3 linked regions of the Schizosaccharomyces pombe genome follow. Changing the gene in region 1 together with any one later gene gives a genetic interaction. Each region holds a gene or a part of one and is shown in the gene's direction. Other genes may lie near its edges.

Region 1 (4,863 bases):
GAACAATTTCGAAACTGAGGAAGGTAACCGAACTGGCAGGTATGGTGCGTATAAAATTTGTTGCCATGCCAGAGTAATATTTTCTCCAACCCTCTGAACGCCATATGTCTCGAATAAGTAAGGTAGCCGAGTTGTGTGTAGGTGCATCCAAACTCTGCAACCGAGTTCTCAAAACTTCATGAGGATAAGTGACGGTAGAAGCTGCGATTTTAGACAAAGTAGCTGCTAACACTATATGAAAGTTGCTTTTTTTACCAAAAAAATCATCCAAAAATGATTTAAAATATTCGTACAGTGGAAATTGGATGCCAACATGCAATGTACCAAATAAAGAGGGGAAAAGACCTCGGTAAAATGCTGCAAGGCCTTCGTATTTATAAATTTTTCGAAATGCGTCAAATGTGTTGTTGTATGCAGGTGAACATGCAGGGCCTGTGGGAGGATTCACTGGATGCTGTGATGGAGAAGATTTGACATTCGTCCTACGCTTGAGCCAAAAGCGAGGCATTCTCCATTTGACGGATGGTGCGTCCGTTTGAAGATTACGAAACTGGACGGTTGTAGCCGCAGCAATTTTATCTACAAAAGAAGAAGCCCTAGGATGTGATTGAGTGACTAACCTTGTTTTTACAACCCAAATGGGGTTAGTAAGAGTGACACTTGCAGCACCGGCGATAACCGCAGAAAAGATTTGACCACCCCAGTAACGATAAAATTGTTTGTCAGAACTATCTAAGGAAGCCTTGATGCCAACCTTGGACGAATCAATTTCGTGGAGAGAAGTGTATTTTTTATTTACCCCAAATAGCACTTTGCATTTTTCATAGACTACAAAATAAATGGACCAACTAGGAAGATAACCTAACATCATGGGTCCAACACCTCTATAAAGACCGGCGATGCCTTCATTGTGAAAAATTGTTCGCATCGAACTGAGGGTCCCACCCAAAACCATTGTATTTTTTCCACCACCAGTTGAATAAAAAGCCTTTTGTGCCTGCTTTCTTGTTTTTACTACATCTAAAGGTGCCACTACAAGAGAAGAGGCCAATCCAGCAGCTCCTCCTGCTATAGCATCCTTTAGAGAATCATCAACCATAAAGACGGATCAATTTCCTGATGATAATGCATGCATCTAAAGAAAACAGCAATTAAATAATAGACCTTGACAAATTCTTTACTTTTTTAGACGCTGATAAGAACGATCCAACGCCTTACGATGTTTCAAATTGGAAATGTATATATATTTTAGCGTTGATGTAAGAAGCTGTACAACAACATATATGTAAGTAAAGTGTTTGGCAGCCGTCAATAAGAAAGTCGAATCACTGTGCGGTAAACCACATTAACGACATGAATGTCTCCGAATTACTAATTGAGAGGACGTTCCATGCCCTTAAAAGAGAATTTCTTTTATATGTGCATATCAGATATGATTAAAGTCGTAATGCCCATTAACAATATATAATGGTGACATTGATGTTGCTAACAGCTTTACACACATATCTCAATTTTACTTCACAGATCAGTTGGCTTTATAAGCACCATTGGAACAGTGCTTTTGCTTTTGCTTTTGCTCGTATAAGTATTAAGAGGAAATTACTAATATAAAACCTTAGTTTTTCATTTTTTTCCAAGTCCAAACATATTGTTTTTATACATTAGCTTCTCTTGATTACCGCCAATTTCTAGTCGAAAAAATTATTTTTTTAAGAAATCCTACATTTGCTGAGAAGAAATGTTGAAAACGTAGTAACTACACAGTGTACCACTATATTGTTGGATAACTTTGTAAACTCCAACGTACTGTTTTGTCATACTCTTATTGTCAACTTTAGAAGCAAGATGTAGAATTAATATACTTGTAAATAACTGAAACACCATTTTTGTCGAGACTTAACTTCAAATATATTGACAGGTGATTGCCTCTATTGCCCTCATTGGAATAGTGCGTTGAACAATCAGACTGTAGCCAGGCTTATGGGACAATAATTCCTTCTTCAATTACTTATTGCTTTAGCAAAGATAAAGTGATTAAATTGGCTAACCGTGACAATAATGAGCTTTAAGTCTCAATTACTTATCCTTGCTCAGAAGCTGTCGAAAGGTGGTATTTCTTGTGAGTTGATTGAGTTTGATGAGTGTATTTTGAAGTTAGAATGGCATACTGAGCTACTTGATAAAAATGATTCCTTATTATACGAGCAGGAAGAAGATGATATTTTAAGCCTTATGAATCCAATGATCACTATGCACGCCTGGATTAGGGATTCTCCATCCTTCGAAGTCCCGCAGTTCTTCTTTCAACCTTATGCAAACGGATCAGATCCTCTTACCAAGATGGAACAGATTTTTGAGTTATTAGAAGGATCCAGTCAAAATTTAGCATATGACGCTCTTGCTATTGGGGACTGTCCAGGTACAGTAGGCATAGCATGGTATATCCATCCATGTCGTACGCGTGATTATTTCGAAATGCTTCAGATAGACAAAGAGGATCCCAAGTATCTCTCTCTTTGGTTGCTATATATTCATCAAGTCCTTTCTCCGCTAACTCAGCCTATAATAAAAGCAGTTGACGATGCCGAAAAATCCTAAAGATAACCTGTTATAAACGGGTATGCTTGCTAAGACTTTGTCTTATTAAATATTATTCCCCATGATTAAAACTAAATTAAAAGTCAATTTAATCCGTATTCTCTGGTTTTAGTTTATAATACCCTGTGAATCTATAGTAAAATTTTGACCTGTTATTTGACAGCAAAAACATTACGGATCTGAAGACCTCAATTGTAGAAAATAGCTTTTGTTCTTTAAATTTGTAGATAAAATACTATACTAATTAATAATCCTTCTGTTTTGACATATCATTCAACTGTTCCACTTAAACCTCTACTTGACCGCATTGATCTCTACACCAACAATTGTTTGTTAAGACAAACGAAACCGGGTTATATACTATTCCTCCTAACACACCTTAGCAACAAATATGGAACAAGTTCCTGTTCTAGCAGAAGATCAAAGGAATTTAAATGAATTTTCAGTGTTGCATTCTCGAAAGGCCATTCAAGAACTTGATATTAAGAATTTAAAAACGCAAATAGAGGATATTGTTGACGCTAAAAATGAATGTGAATTACTAGACGAGGATGATGGAGACGATATTCCAGCTTTAAAGGTTGGCGATGCCTTTTTCCAAGTTTCCCTTCCTGTACTCCTTGACCAGCTTGAGCAGTCAGAAGAAAGTTTGGAAAAGCAAGTCGACGTATTAAGATCTTCCATGGAAAAAGACGAAACCCGCATTCAAGAGTTGAAATCAATGCTGTACTCTAAATTTCACGATCAAATTAACCTAGACTAAGATTTGGAAAAAGCAGCAAATCTCAAAATTAGAAGCTTCATCTTATTTTTCTGAATTAGTTTCTTTAATTAAATAACATTTCATGCATTTAAATTTATTCACAATACCAAATCTGTATGCAATTAGCGCCTCCAATAAGTAAACTTCTTTGTTCACCCTAAGCCATTACAAGTATCCAACCACCACTATGGCACATGAGATTGAAATTGACTCGGAAGCTGACCTAGGTCGTACAACATTTGAGGCTGAAGACCTTTATAAGCAGAGAACTCCCATTACAAAGCCTCCGGCCCCTAGATTACAATCTCGTCGCGCATCCATGCAAGAGACGCCATGGACCATCAAAGATTCATTTAACGTGGAAACTAAAGATGTGGTTCAACGATGTATACATACTCTTATTCCCACTGTAAATTTCTTTGATGTTGTAGATGATCGTCCCGATTTATACGGTCCTTTTTGGATAACCACTACGGTTATACAGGCTCTATTCTTTTCCAACTCAATTACCGAATACGCTCGTTATGCCACAGGGCATGGTACAAGTGGCTATTCTATAAAAAAGTTGATCTCTGCAGCATCAATTATTTATGGTTACACTACCATTATCGCCGTTTTGTTATGGGGTATCCTAGTGTGGAACAAATGCAACCCTAAGTTACTCGACTGTCTGTGTTTATATGGATATGCTAACATTGTTTGGCTTCCCGTTTCTTTAGCAACTCCTCCGTTTGGATTGCTATCTACTTTGGCCTCCCATATTGTCAAATATGTACTTACAGGGATTGGTTTGTTAATTTCCATTGTGTTTTTAACTAGAAATTTATATCCTATCTGTCAGCAAGCCGGATCAAATTTGTGCAAACTTTTATTGTTCGGAATTATCGTCTTTCACTGTTTGCTCGCTTTGTCTCTTCAACTCATATTCTTCAGTTAATATCCTAATTTGTGAGGAGTTTCTTTTATCAGTCGCATTGCTTCATTCGAAAATTATACTATTCCCCTTCTTTCATTCTTTAGAAAAGTCATTCAGCATTTAAGATCCTATTGAGTCTAAGTGTTGGTATACTCTATATGATTCAGTTTATACATATATTCGCTTTACATTTGATTTTCTACTCTTTTTACTATAGCTACTAATGTTCCCTCAATTTACTAGGTTTTTTTTTCAGGTGCAAAATACGTATAAATAATCATTTCTTATGCATTGATGAATCATGCCTTAGTAAAAATAATTGTAGCCTTTTTAGTGAACCAAAGACTTTATGACATTTAGTCATATTTTTGCAATCGATCTCCCGTCATTTATATAGAAAACTTAACACATTATTACTCGTTGTTCAACAAAAAAGAGCTGAAGGTAAATTAATGGTGAAGCTTAACCTGAAAAGTACTTTTACGATTTCAAATTCAGATTTTTTTCAACAAGAGAAAAAAACTTTGTGAGATATTGAAAAAACGTTGAAATTTACGATGCATCACCACAATTTCAAGATTAAAAA
Region 2 (5,279 bases), 540 kb from region 1:
AATGTCGTTCTTTGGCCTTAAAAGATATTCTACTCCTATTTTAAAACCTATGCTTCCTTTTTTTCTAGGGGGTATGTATATTTTTCAACGATTTGAATTATTATTAACATGTCTTGACAGGAGCCATCGTATTCTATGGTACTGTAAAGCTTCGTGATGCTATGATGGATTGTACGTTTTTAATAGAAATAGAACAATTTTTTAACTCTATGTAGCTGCGGAGTATCGCAATGATCCTAGAAACCCAAAGGCTGGAAAGTACGGAAGTGATCATTAAGTTGATGACGAGTTCATGTCTTTCACTTCCTAAAATGTTTCAGCCCTTTTGATGTGATTTAATGGAAGTCAATGAAATTACACTGCTTGTTTTTGTAGCAGTTACAATTGATCAAAAGTTCTGTAATCAATCGAATTTATTTGTAGGAGATCAATCATTTAAATTAAAGTATTAAATGTATATTTAAATATGAACTTTTCAAATAAACAGAAGGAAAAAATGAATTTCCATGCTTTTTAGGAATACATGTGTTGCACGAAATAAATATTCACTTTGACTGAAAAGTTATGTACTTAGTCGTCATTTAATTCGCTCATTTTGTAATCTTTTAATTTACCTAGATAATTTGATAATCCTCAGAAAAAGTACCTCAAACATATTGTTCCTATTTTGTGTTTCCAATTAAGCAGATCTTTGGGCACGGATTTCAAAAGCTGTAAAATAACGTATTACAGAAGGTTTAGTATACACTTCTATATTGAAGCTGGTATTGTATTCTCTAGAACTGAGGCTTTTACTAAAAATAAAGCAGTATTAGCATTTTTCGTTTTCAATACTACTTCGCCATGTAGGCGATCGTTTTTTGCATTCACTCCAAAAAAGAATCATCGGAAAAACTATTGAAAGAGAATAGCAGTTCAATATGATTCTGTAAGTAAAATCCTGAACGTTCATAGAAAATCATTTTGGATTTGTTTGCTTTGTTTACAAAACAAATCACTTTGAAGTGATTCTCTTTGAGGATATGAAAAAATATGCTAGAATTCCACATTCTTCATAATGTAAACAAAACATTATTGCTTTTTGTATCAATAAATTTAATCCAAACCTCTTTTCTTTCCACTAGAAAACCACATGTCATTCATATTTTGTACTTTTCGGAAGAAAGTCAGAACAAGCTCCCACTCAGGTACTTCATGCTACAATGTAATGCACAAACAATTGAAGGGTAAAATATCTGTTGGAGCAAATGATTCCGTGACATTTCAGCCACATCACAAACGGCTTACTTCGGAATAAACAAATATTATTCTAACGGAAAAGAAAAAAAAAAATCCGCGTTCAGTAGAAGTCACTGCAAAAATATGAACCAACAAATTTGAATTCGCTTTGCTTACTAAATTTATTAAGTCTCATGTAAAGAAACAATCAACATCCACAGCCTTAAGGCAATCATGGTACAAACATTAAATAAAATATTCCACTCTTTTAGAAACGAGCATCTTAAAAAATTAGTTGACGAGGGAAGTAAACAAAGACATTGAAGTATTGCTTAGTAAAATAAAAAATTAGTCACATTACATTGTATATATCATGTATTCAAAACATCCTTCTACTCCAAATATAGCTCGTTGCAGCGCTCTATTTGCCTTCCTCTTTGATTTCTGTGATGATGCGATTCTAACAACCACAGTCATCTCTGTGAATTAGAATCTTAGCAAAATGACGGTTGTTGACATTAAGATTGGTAATAAATATCGTATAGGTAGAAAAATTGGTTCTGGCTCCTTTGGTCAAATTTACCTGGGATTAAATACGGTAAATGGAGAACAAGTTGCTGTGAAATTGGAGCCTTTAAAGGCTCGTCATCATCAGTTAGAATATGAGTAAGTAGTGCTTTAATATTTTTTTACTTAAGTATAAGTTGGATTTCTTTCGGAACTCCAATTTCTTCTTTATATCTATCAACCGTAGCTCGATGTTTTACAACCAAAAAGGAAAAGCAAAAGTTACTCCATTTGGTTATTTTTCTTTTTTCTTTCTAACATTTAGGTTTCGTGTGTATAATATTCTTAAAGGAAATATTGGCATACCCACAATTCGCTGGTTCGGTGTAACCAATAGTTATAATGCTATGGTCATGGATTTATTAGGCCCTTCTCTGGAAGATTTATTCTGCTATTGTGGAAGAAAGTTTACTCTTAAAACGGTTCTTTTACTTGCTGATCAACTCATCAGTCGCATTGAATATGTTCACTCCAAGTCATTCTTACATCGAGACATTAAGCCTGATAATTTTTTAATGAAGAAGCACAGCAATGTTGTTACGATGATTGACTTCGGATTGGCGAAAAAATACAGGGATTTTAAAACTCATGTTCATATTCCATATCGAGATAATAAGAATCTTACGGGAACGGCTCGATATGCTAGTATTAACACCCATATTGGTATTGAACAATCTCGCCGTGATGACCTCGAATCGTTAGGTTATGTTTTACTTTATTTTTGTCGCGGCAGTTTGCCCTGGCAAGGCTTACAAGCTGATACAAAGGAGCAAAAGTATCAACGGATACGTGATACCAAGATTGGCACTCCTTTGGAAGTCCTTTGCAAAGGTCTTCCCGAAGAGTTTATCACTTACATGTGTTACACTCGTCAGCTTTCGTTTACCGAGAAGCCAAACTATGCTTATTTGAGAAAGCTGTTTCGTGATTTACTTATTCGTAAAGGATACCAGTATGACTATGTTTTTGACTGGATGATATTAAAATACGTAAGTTTTGAAAAGAAAATGATAAGGTGATACGTTAGTTTAACCTTAACAAATGATTGAAAATTCGATTGACTAACTATTATTAGCAAAAGCGAGCTGCTGCTGCTGCCGCCGCTTCTGCTACAGCACCTCCACAGGTTACATCTCCTATGGTGTCACAAACTCAACCGGTTAATCCCATTACTCCTAATTATTCATCCATTCCCTTACCTGCTGAGCGGAATCCAAAGACTCCACAATCTTTCTCCACTAATATTGTTCAATGTGCTTCTCCCTCACCTCTTCCTCTCTCCTTTCGTTCTCCTGTTCCCAACAAAGATTATGAATACATTCCATCTTCGTTGCAACCTCAATACAGTGCTCAACTGAGGCGTGTTTTAGATGAAGAACCAGCTCCTTGATTTTTTGACTTTACTTTTCATCAATTCCTCTCTTACACTACGTCTTTTAGTCTTAAATTCCAAACCATCTGTTGACGTTTTAAAGTTCCACAAATATCTTTAATAATTCCTGGCTTTCTTTTTTGTCTATGGATGGCCGGATTGCTACACTAATACACTTTGAGGTTTAGCTATTGTTTTGAGCTATTCCATTTTGCCTAGAAGTTGAGTTTTAATGCCTTCTTTTTAAATAGACATATTGTGTAAACCTCATACATGCTTTACTGAAAAGACATAATTAGAGGACAAAATTTAAATCGTGCTGTTTGTTTATATTCAGCTCGTTCCGGTCAAGTTCTTGCCAAAGAATTGAGTCAGTCGTGCTATTCATTTCTAAATTTCTTCTTCCCAGAATTTTATTTTATTGTTTTCGTTCCCCATTGGTTCTTACATTCCGTTTTTATTCAAAACTGAAAAGTTTGTACCTCCATTGCTAGAAGTAATATACACAAGGAGCATGTTTCTTTTTTTACACTATCATTTGCGTGGCTCTAAACCAGTCTTTATTGCCTACCTTTGCAATAAAAGATATAATATCAATTGCATAAGAAATAATTCATTAATAAATGATAAATTTCATCGATTAAATAGATCGCTATTTTTCACACTGTATTATGGGCAAGTAGCGTAAAAAATATTAGCTCTGTTGGAGTTGACCGCTGGATCATCAAGTTTTACATACTATTTAATTTCGGCTGTAGCAAAGAAAAATATCCATCGATTTGCCATATTATCATATCTATTGCTTTCTGTGGTATTTTAACCACCGGTATTTCACTTCTACAAATGTAAACAAAGCACGTTGATTTGTTTACATTACAGTTGCCCCAGTAACACATTATGGATCAGCACCACAAAGAAAAATCATTCAAAATTGATGCTCAAATTCAATATTCTACAGGCTCAAGAAGGGATCTATACTTATTTTTACTAAACCCATAACTATCATCTCTGTTTCGTCTGCGGTAAAAAAAAAATTGTTTAGATTAATGTAAAAACAGAGCAAAATGAGATTTGTCACTTAGTACAACAATGTGTTACCTCTACACGCAACTCCTGAGTTGCGTCGCATGTTATTTGATGAGCTGACTTTGCGCACAAAACCAATACATAACAAAGAGATCTTAGGATTTGGAAGTTGCGCTACACCAAATACTTTTCATATTCGGTAAAGGGAAAGATTTTAAAAAAAGCTTCAGAATGGGATCAAGGTATGTACTAAATCTGATCAATCAATGTCTAACTAATCATTAGATTCGGTAGAAGAAAAGAACGCAATGGCGATATGTTGCCCTTGTATGAGTCTCAATCTCCTCAGCATTTAGACTCCTTGGAAAATGAAAATGATGAACGGATTTCAAAGTTAACTGGAAAAGTCAAGTCTTTGAAAGAGGTAAGATTTTTGCCATCATCAGGAAAAACATGCTAACTAATTTTAATAGCTTACTATGAATATTGGGACTGAGATAACGTCTTCTACTAAGTTGATGGAGTCAATGAACGACTCATTTGACTCGACCAAGTCACTTTTGAGCGGGACAATGACTCGATTAAAGAATGTTTCGAAGAATGGAGGAATTTCAATTTGGATGTGGCTCGCCTTCTTTTGCCTCGTTGCGCTTATCCTCGTTTTGGTAAGATTTTAGGCATTTTGCTTACTACCTTTACTCTTTTTTAGAGTTAGCATTTTTATGATTCATTTTATGGCGTGTATAATCTGTTAAAATTGTATACTTGAAGTTTCTTCATTCTCTTTTCTTCTAACATTTTCATTCTGATTATTTTAAACTTATTATCGATAGAAAAAAAACATTCATCCACCTTTGGTGTTTCCACACAAGTGGTTTGTCACGATAGGAACGCAAATCCTCAATTTTTGTTTTCCTAACGACTTTGTTTTTAACTTATTACATCCTGTTATTATAAGTTTCTATCTGTTATTCATGATACTAGCCCTTCACTCGTCGTCTTACCATTTTTGTAAATTGACGCAACTATTACATTTGAGTTTTATTCAAGTTTATCGGCATGCAGGTCATGTCTTTTGCATTTTCTATTCCCAAGC
Region 3 (5,995 bases), 1.4 Mb from region 1:
AACCGGTAGGATTTGATCAATTGGCTTTATATATAGGCGCTATATTTTCTTTCTTTTTACATTTCTTTCTATGATGACTCGGATGGAATTAAGACCATTGGAAATTGGCTTCTCTAAAGCACTCACAGAAGTAGCTCCGGTAACTTGTCAATGCGAATGTTGGGATCATAATCTTTGCAGCTCTCAAGCTAGTGAGATGGATTTAATTTATCAGTCTCAGGATACCCATTCTTGTGCATCAAAGCAAGACGCCGTTTTTCAGTTGCTGAGTGAAACCAAGATCCCTGTTCCCAATCGTTATAGAAAAATTTCACATCGCTTGAGTACTCTATCTAATAAAAAAACTCTTAAATCACAATTAGATCGTTTTTTGTCTTCGTCCAAAAAATTACACAATGATGATGTTAATAGAGGTGATTACTGCTTTCTTCTTTCTACACCTGTCGAGTGTTCTGCTTCTACCAACTCTCATTCTTACGACTGTTTGTGGAATTTTTCGTGTAATTCATTCCCTGAATACTCCTCCTACTCTGCTTCGGAAACGTCTTCAGTCGCTTCTTACTCTTACTATTCGGGGCCAAATCCTGCAACTCCCAGCTCTTCCTCTTGTAACCTCGTAAACGCAAATAGCCTTGATATTTACTTGAATATTAACAACTTAAAAAAATCCAAATCTGTTCCTCGTTTAAGAGGTCAATGTATGTTCTTTTAAGATTTTTCAACCTTTTCTCTTATCTTTTATTTATTCATCGTTGCTAACAATATCATAGTTATGGAGCCCGTAGAGCATAACCATCCACTTTCTAAAAGTCTTGAGGAGCAATCCTCTTTTTTGGAACAATCAAAGGATGCTTCCTCTAACTTGACCGCCTGCAATAGGAGTGGCTCTAGTTTATCATCTAATTTCTACTCATCTAGGTTGTCCAAAAAAACATCTTTAGCATCTTTAAATAAGTCTCGAGCTTCTTTACAGCATAAAATAATGTCGCTATCTCGTAATATCATCAGACGTGTATTTCACAAGCCAGAAGTGCATTTGGATCCAAGTGCCTCCATTTTAAATCTCTCATCTTCGCATGGCGAAAGCAACCTGACAAATGGTTTGCTTTGTCAAAATTTCAAGCTTTTTCAGGATGATTGGTTGATGGAGGATTGTGCGCCAGATGCCAATTTCACTTTGTACACCCCGCTTCAACCCTGGGAAAAGCGAAGTGTGAAACCTGAAATCAGACGTCCTCGATTAAATCCTAATTTTTTCCGAGTATTTGTTTTAGAAGCTCAAATGCGACGAGCTGGAAAGCTATCAGCAAACACTGCTGGCCGAGCCCAGTTAATTTACCTCCCAAAGCCTGCCGTTACCTTCTCCACTAGCCCTTTGCATGTTGAATTGTAAAAATTTAACGCATGACTTATATACATTTGCATTCTTCCAAGCTGGTTATATTTATTTTCATTTTTTTCTCACCCAATACTTTTTTATCCCTACTGTCTTTATGGACAATCGACTCACAATTGTTTCTTTTTGTTGTATATGATTTTTTTTTTAAAGGAAATGGGTTTCGCGATACTGGGTTGAATCCCAATTGCGGTTAATATTACATAAAATAATTCTCCCATAGTCCTAGATCCTGTCTTTGAATATGAGCAAATAAAAGAATTGAACAAATCATGAATGCTTTTCTCTCTTAGATGATATTTTGTATGCATAAGTCTAATTATATTGATTACGATAAGACTTAAAAAGTAAGCCTTTGTATCCTTTTAAGCAGTATTTGAATTTTCTTGTATCATATTTTAGGTAGAGCAAAAGATACCAGTTTGTAGAACTTTATGTGCTTCCTTACATTGGTATATTTCAGGCACATAAATATTCTTCAACTTACAATTCTAAGTATTTTGTTTATACTAAAAGGAGCTGAATAACGTTTATACAGTGCTGACATTGAAATCTATTTGCTTTCTTTGGAATATAAGCGCATGCTGAGTTACTTTCGCAGGCCAAGCCATATCCAACCACCATTTTTGTGCCAAGCTTTTATGCAAGGTTAATTCCTTGTACTGCTTGTTATGTTATAATATATCAACATCTTAACAGTTTTCATATCTTCCTTTATATTCTATTAATTGAATTTCAAACATCGTTTTATTGAGCTCATTTACATCAACCGGTTCAATGCAAACAGTAATGATGGATGACATTCAAAGCACTGATTCTATTGCTGAAAAAGATAATCACTCTAATAATGAATCTAACTTTACTTGGAAAGCGTTTCGTGAACAAGTGGAAAAGCATTTTTCTAAAATTGAAAGGCTTCACCAAGTCCTTGGAACAGATGGAGACAATTCATCATTATTTGAGTTGTTTACAACGGCAATGAATGCCCAGCTTCATGAAATGGAACAGTGCCAGAAAAAACTTGAAGATGACTGTCAGCAAAGAATTGATTCAATCAGATTTTTGGTTTCCTCATTAAAGTTAACGGATGATACTTCTAGTCTCAAAATTGAGTCTCCTTTAATTCAGTGTTTGAATCGTTTGTCAATGGTAGAAGGACAATATATGGCACAGTATGATCAAAAGTTAAGTACGATTAAAGGTATGTAATCGTCTTTAATTTAGACTTGTGTTTTAACTGATGTATAGAAATGTATCACAAATTGGAGTCATATTGTAACCGCTTAGGAAGTCCGTTCGTTTTACCTGATTTTGAGAATTCATTTTTATCTGATGTATCCGATGCTTTTACTGAATCTTTGAGAGGACGCATCAACGAAGCCGAAAAGGAGATTGATGCGAGATTAGAGGTTATTAATTCCTTTGAAGAAGAAATTTTGGGTTTGTGGTCTGAACTCGGTGTTGAGCCCGCTGATGTTCCACAATACGAACAATTGCTTGAATCCCATACTAATCGACCAAATGATGTTTATGTTACTCAAGAACTTATCGACCAACTTTGCAAGCAAAAAGAAGTTTTTTCCGCTGAAAAAGAAAAGAGAAGTGATCATTTAAAAAGTATACAATCAGAAGTTAGCAACTTGTGGAATAAGCTTCAAGTTTCTCCCAATGAACAAAGTCAATTTGGCGATTCATCAAACATTAATCAAGAAAATATTTCATTATGGGAAACTGAACTTGAAAAACTTCATCAGTTAAAAAAGGAGCATTTACCCATTTTTTTAGAAGACTGTCGTCAACAAATTCTTCAGCTTTGGGATTCTCTGTTTTATTCAGAAGAACAAAGAAAGTCCTTTACACCTATGTATGAAGACATTATTACAGAGCAGGTTCTTACGGCCCATGAAAACTATATAAAGCAACTAGAGGCCGAAGTTTCTGCTAATAAGTCCTTTTTAAGCTTAATTAATCGCTATGCCTCTTTAATAGAAGGAAAGAAAGAGCTTGAAGCTAGTTCTAATGATGCCTCTCGTCTAACACAACGGGGACGCCGGGACCCAGGTTTACTTCTACGTGAAGAGAAAATCCGTAAGCGACTTTCTAGAGAACTTCCTAAGGTTCAGTCGCTGCTTATACCAGAGATTACAGCATGGGAAGAAAGAAATGGAAGGACGTTCCTTTTTTATGATGAACCACTTCTCAAGATTTGCCAAGAGGCCACTCAACCAAAATCATTATATAGAAGTGCAAGTGCTGCCGCAAACCGCCCGAAAACAGCAACTACAACGGACTCTGTTAATAGAACACCTTCTCAACGAGGGCGTGTAGCTGTACCTTCAACACCAAGTGTTAGGTCCGCTTCTCGAGCTATGACGAGTCCAAGGACACCGCTTCCTAGAGTAAAAAACACTCAAAATCCAAGTCGTTCCATTAGTGCAGAACCGCCATCAGCAACCAGTACCGCCAATAGAAGACACCCCACTGCTAATCGAATTGATATAAACGCTAGATTAAACAGTGCTAGTCGGTCTCGAAGCGCGAACATGATAAGACAAGGGGCAAATGGTAGTGACAGCAATATGTCTTCTTCACCCGTTTCTGGAAATTCCAATACCCCTTTTAACAAGTTTCCAAATTCTGTATCTCGCAATACACATTTTGAATCCAAGTCACCGCACCCAAATTACTCTCGAACTCCTCATGAAACGTATTCAAAGGCTTCATCTAAGAACGTCCCATTAAGTCCTCCAAAGCAGCGTGTAGTTAATGAACACGCTTTAAATATTATGTCGGAAAAATTGCAAAGAACTAATCTGAAAGAACAAACACCCGAGATGGACATTGAAAACAGCTCGCAGAACCTTCCTTTTTCTCCTATGAAGATATCCCCCATAAGAGCATCACCCGTAAAGACAATTCCATCATCACCGTCCCCCACTACCAACATTTTTTCTGCTCCACTCAACAATATTACAAATTGTACACCGATGGAGGATGAATGGGGAGAAGAAGGCTTTTAAGCTTCTTATTTACCTAATCGATCAAATTTAAATATACATATTTTTGCATATGAATACAGCATATAGATAATTCATAAAAGTTTATTAACTGAGGTCATAATTAAAAGACTATTTACACCTAAAAAAAAACGTGTATCAATAGAGGGAAAAGAGAAGAATTAAGAACAGAAAGTAACCATAGTTTTGTTAAAATAGCAATGTAAAAAAATATTATGAAAAGAAAACGTATAGCACATTTTGAAATGTAAAAGAATCTGAGAGAGCGTGTGAATATCTAGCAATTACAAGAAGATGTATTATTCAAAGGCTTTGAAAGAAGCAAAGGTTCAGAGAAGTCATTAACAAAGTCATCTCTCGAGCTTTCATTTTCTAAAGCTAAACGACTGACTGTTTCGAAAAGGTCAGTAACGTTTGTATTTTCTTTTGCACTAGCTTCAAAATGAATCATATTTGATCCATGTTTGGATTTGCAATAGTCAAGAGCTCGATGAAGAGATACGGCTCGTTTAGACGCGTCTTTGTCGATTTGATTTCCAACGATAATGAAAGGGAATGCACATTCATCTTGTGAAGTTTGATATAAAAATTCTTGCCTCCAGTTTTCTACTGAGTCAAAAGACTTCGAGTTATTCACATTATAAACAATTACACAACAATCGGCCCCTCTGTAAAAAGCCATTCCCAGGCTTTGAAATCGTTCTTGACCAGCAGTATCCCAAAGCTGTTTATAATTAGCAAACGAATTTAGATGGGCGGAACTTATATTGGAACTTACCTGTAATGTGACCAATTTGTCGTCAACCACAACGTCCTTGGTTAAAAAATCAGCACCGATGGTAGCTTTATATTCGCGACTAAACTTTTGATTGACGAACTAAAATGACGATGTTAACAAATTGCCAAAGCAATACTCATAGAGAAGCTGATGTAAAGATCGTTAACCATATTTGAGCTAGTATTTAATAACAAAGTGAATAAATTTTAAAAGCAATCACCTTGTAGCGACAAATAACAACTTATCGACATAAAATCAATGGGAAATTGCAGTATTGGATTTTACAGCTCAATACAAAAACCAAAAAGAAAAATATACTGAACGTATAAAATTTAACGCTTCAATTGATAACCACTACACCATCAATGGTTGAATTCGAGGGTAATGCTTAAAAAAGCTCGTCTGTACGATACGTCGACCACATCAGCAACTCCCCTAGCATTAACATACCTGATTCATTAAACATGTTTTTCCAACGCCACTATCTCCTAATATAACAACCTTTAAAAACACCCTTTTCTGAGCCGACATTGAAGTATATTCTGTCGTACCTGGTAGTAAGAAGTTCAGCCCTTAGAATGTCCATCTGGGACAGCATTGATAGTGTCTTTCAGTTTGACACATTACAGTAAGTAGCATTACAATACTTCGTTGCATAGCGTTGTTTTAAATACGAATCTTTACCGTAAATTTTTATAACAATATTTAACGAAAACGAATAACTCACTAAGTTTTTAATAAGATACATTTGCTTTCAATAGACATTACAGTGAAGGATCTAGTTATCTGACTACTATCCTGGGA

The links. A genetic interaction does not mean that the proteins touch.
Region 2: mutations in pfd4 (region 1) and hhp2 together harm fitness more than expected from each alone (negative genetic interaction), as found in Schizosaccharomyces pombe (2 studies listed by BioGRID).
Region 3: mutations in pfd4 (region 1) and ase1 together harm fitness more than expected from each alone (negative genetic interaction), as found in Schizosaccharomyces pombe (2 studies listed by BioGRID).

What each region holds. Positions count from the first base shown.
Region 1 is NC_003424.3:502,995-507,857, forward strand, and holds pfd4 (prefoldin subunit 4), read left to right. Parts: upstream 1-2,914; 5' UTR 2,915-2,989; coding exon 2,990-3,361; downstream 3,362-4,863. Other genes in the region: yea6 (NAD+ transporter), read right to left, coding at 1-1,099; atg10 (autophagy C terminal domain family protein), read left to right, coding at 2,059-2,598; yip5 (Rab GTPase-binding protein), read left to right, coding at 3,549-4,298.
Region 2 is NC_003424.3:1,047,315-1,052,593, forward strand, and holds hhp2 (serine/threonine protein kinase (CK1 family) Hhp2), read left to right. Parts: upstream 1-1,683; 5' UTR 1,684-1,720; coding exon 1,721-1,884; intron 1,885-2,050; coding exon 2,051-2,774; intron 2,775-2,860; coding exon 2,861-3,175; 3' UTR 3,176-3,822; downstream 3,823-5,279. Other genes in the region: atp18 (F0-ATPase subunit J), read left to right, coding at 2-71, 121-171, 216-277; SNARE protein Bet1, read left to right, coding at 4,415-4,425, 4,469-4,607, 4,657-4,860. UniProt on the Schizosaccharomyces pombe protein: Involved in DNA repair. May regulate the activity of protein(s) involved in double strand break repair caused by gamma rays.
Region 3 is NC_003424.3:1,876,189-1,882,183, forward strand, and holds ase1 (antiparallel microtubule cross-linking factor Ase1), read left to right. Parts: upstream 1-2,000; 5' UTR 2,001-2,173; coding exon 2,174-2,597; exon of another isoform or gene 2,598-2,644; coding exon 2,645-4,416; 3' UTR 4,417-4,538; downstream 4,539-5,995. Other genes in the region: SPOM_SPAPB1A10.08 (uncharacterized protein), read left to right, coding at 71-698, 771-1,393; GTPase Ypt71, read right to left, coding at 4,691-5,137, 5,192-5,290, 5,642-5,722. UniProt on the Schizosaccharomyces pombe protein: Required for anaphase spindle elongation and microtubule bundling in both interphase and mitosis. Has a role in spatial and temporal regulation of septation and cytokinesis and ensures equal partition of segregating sister chromatids.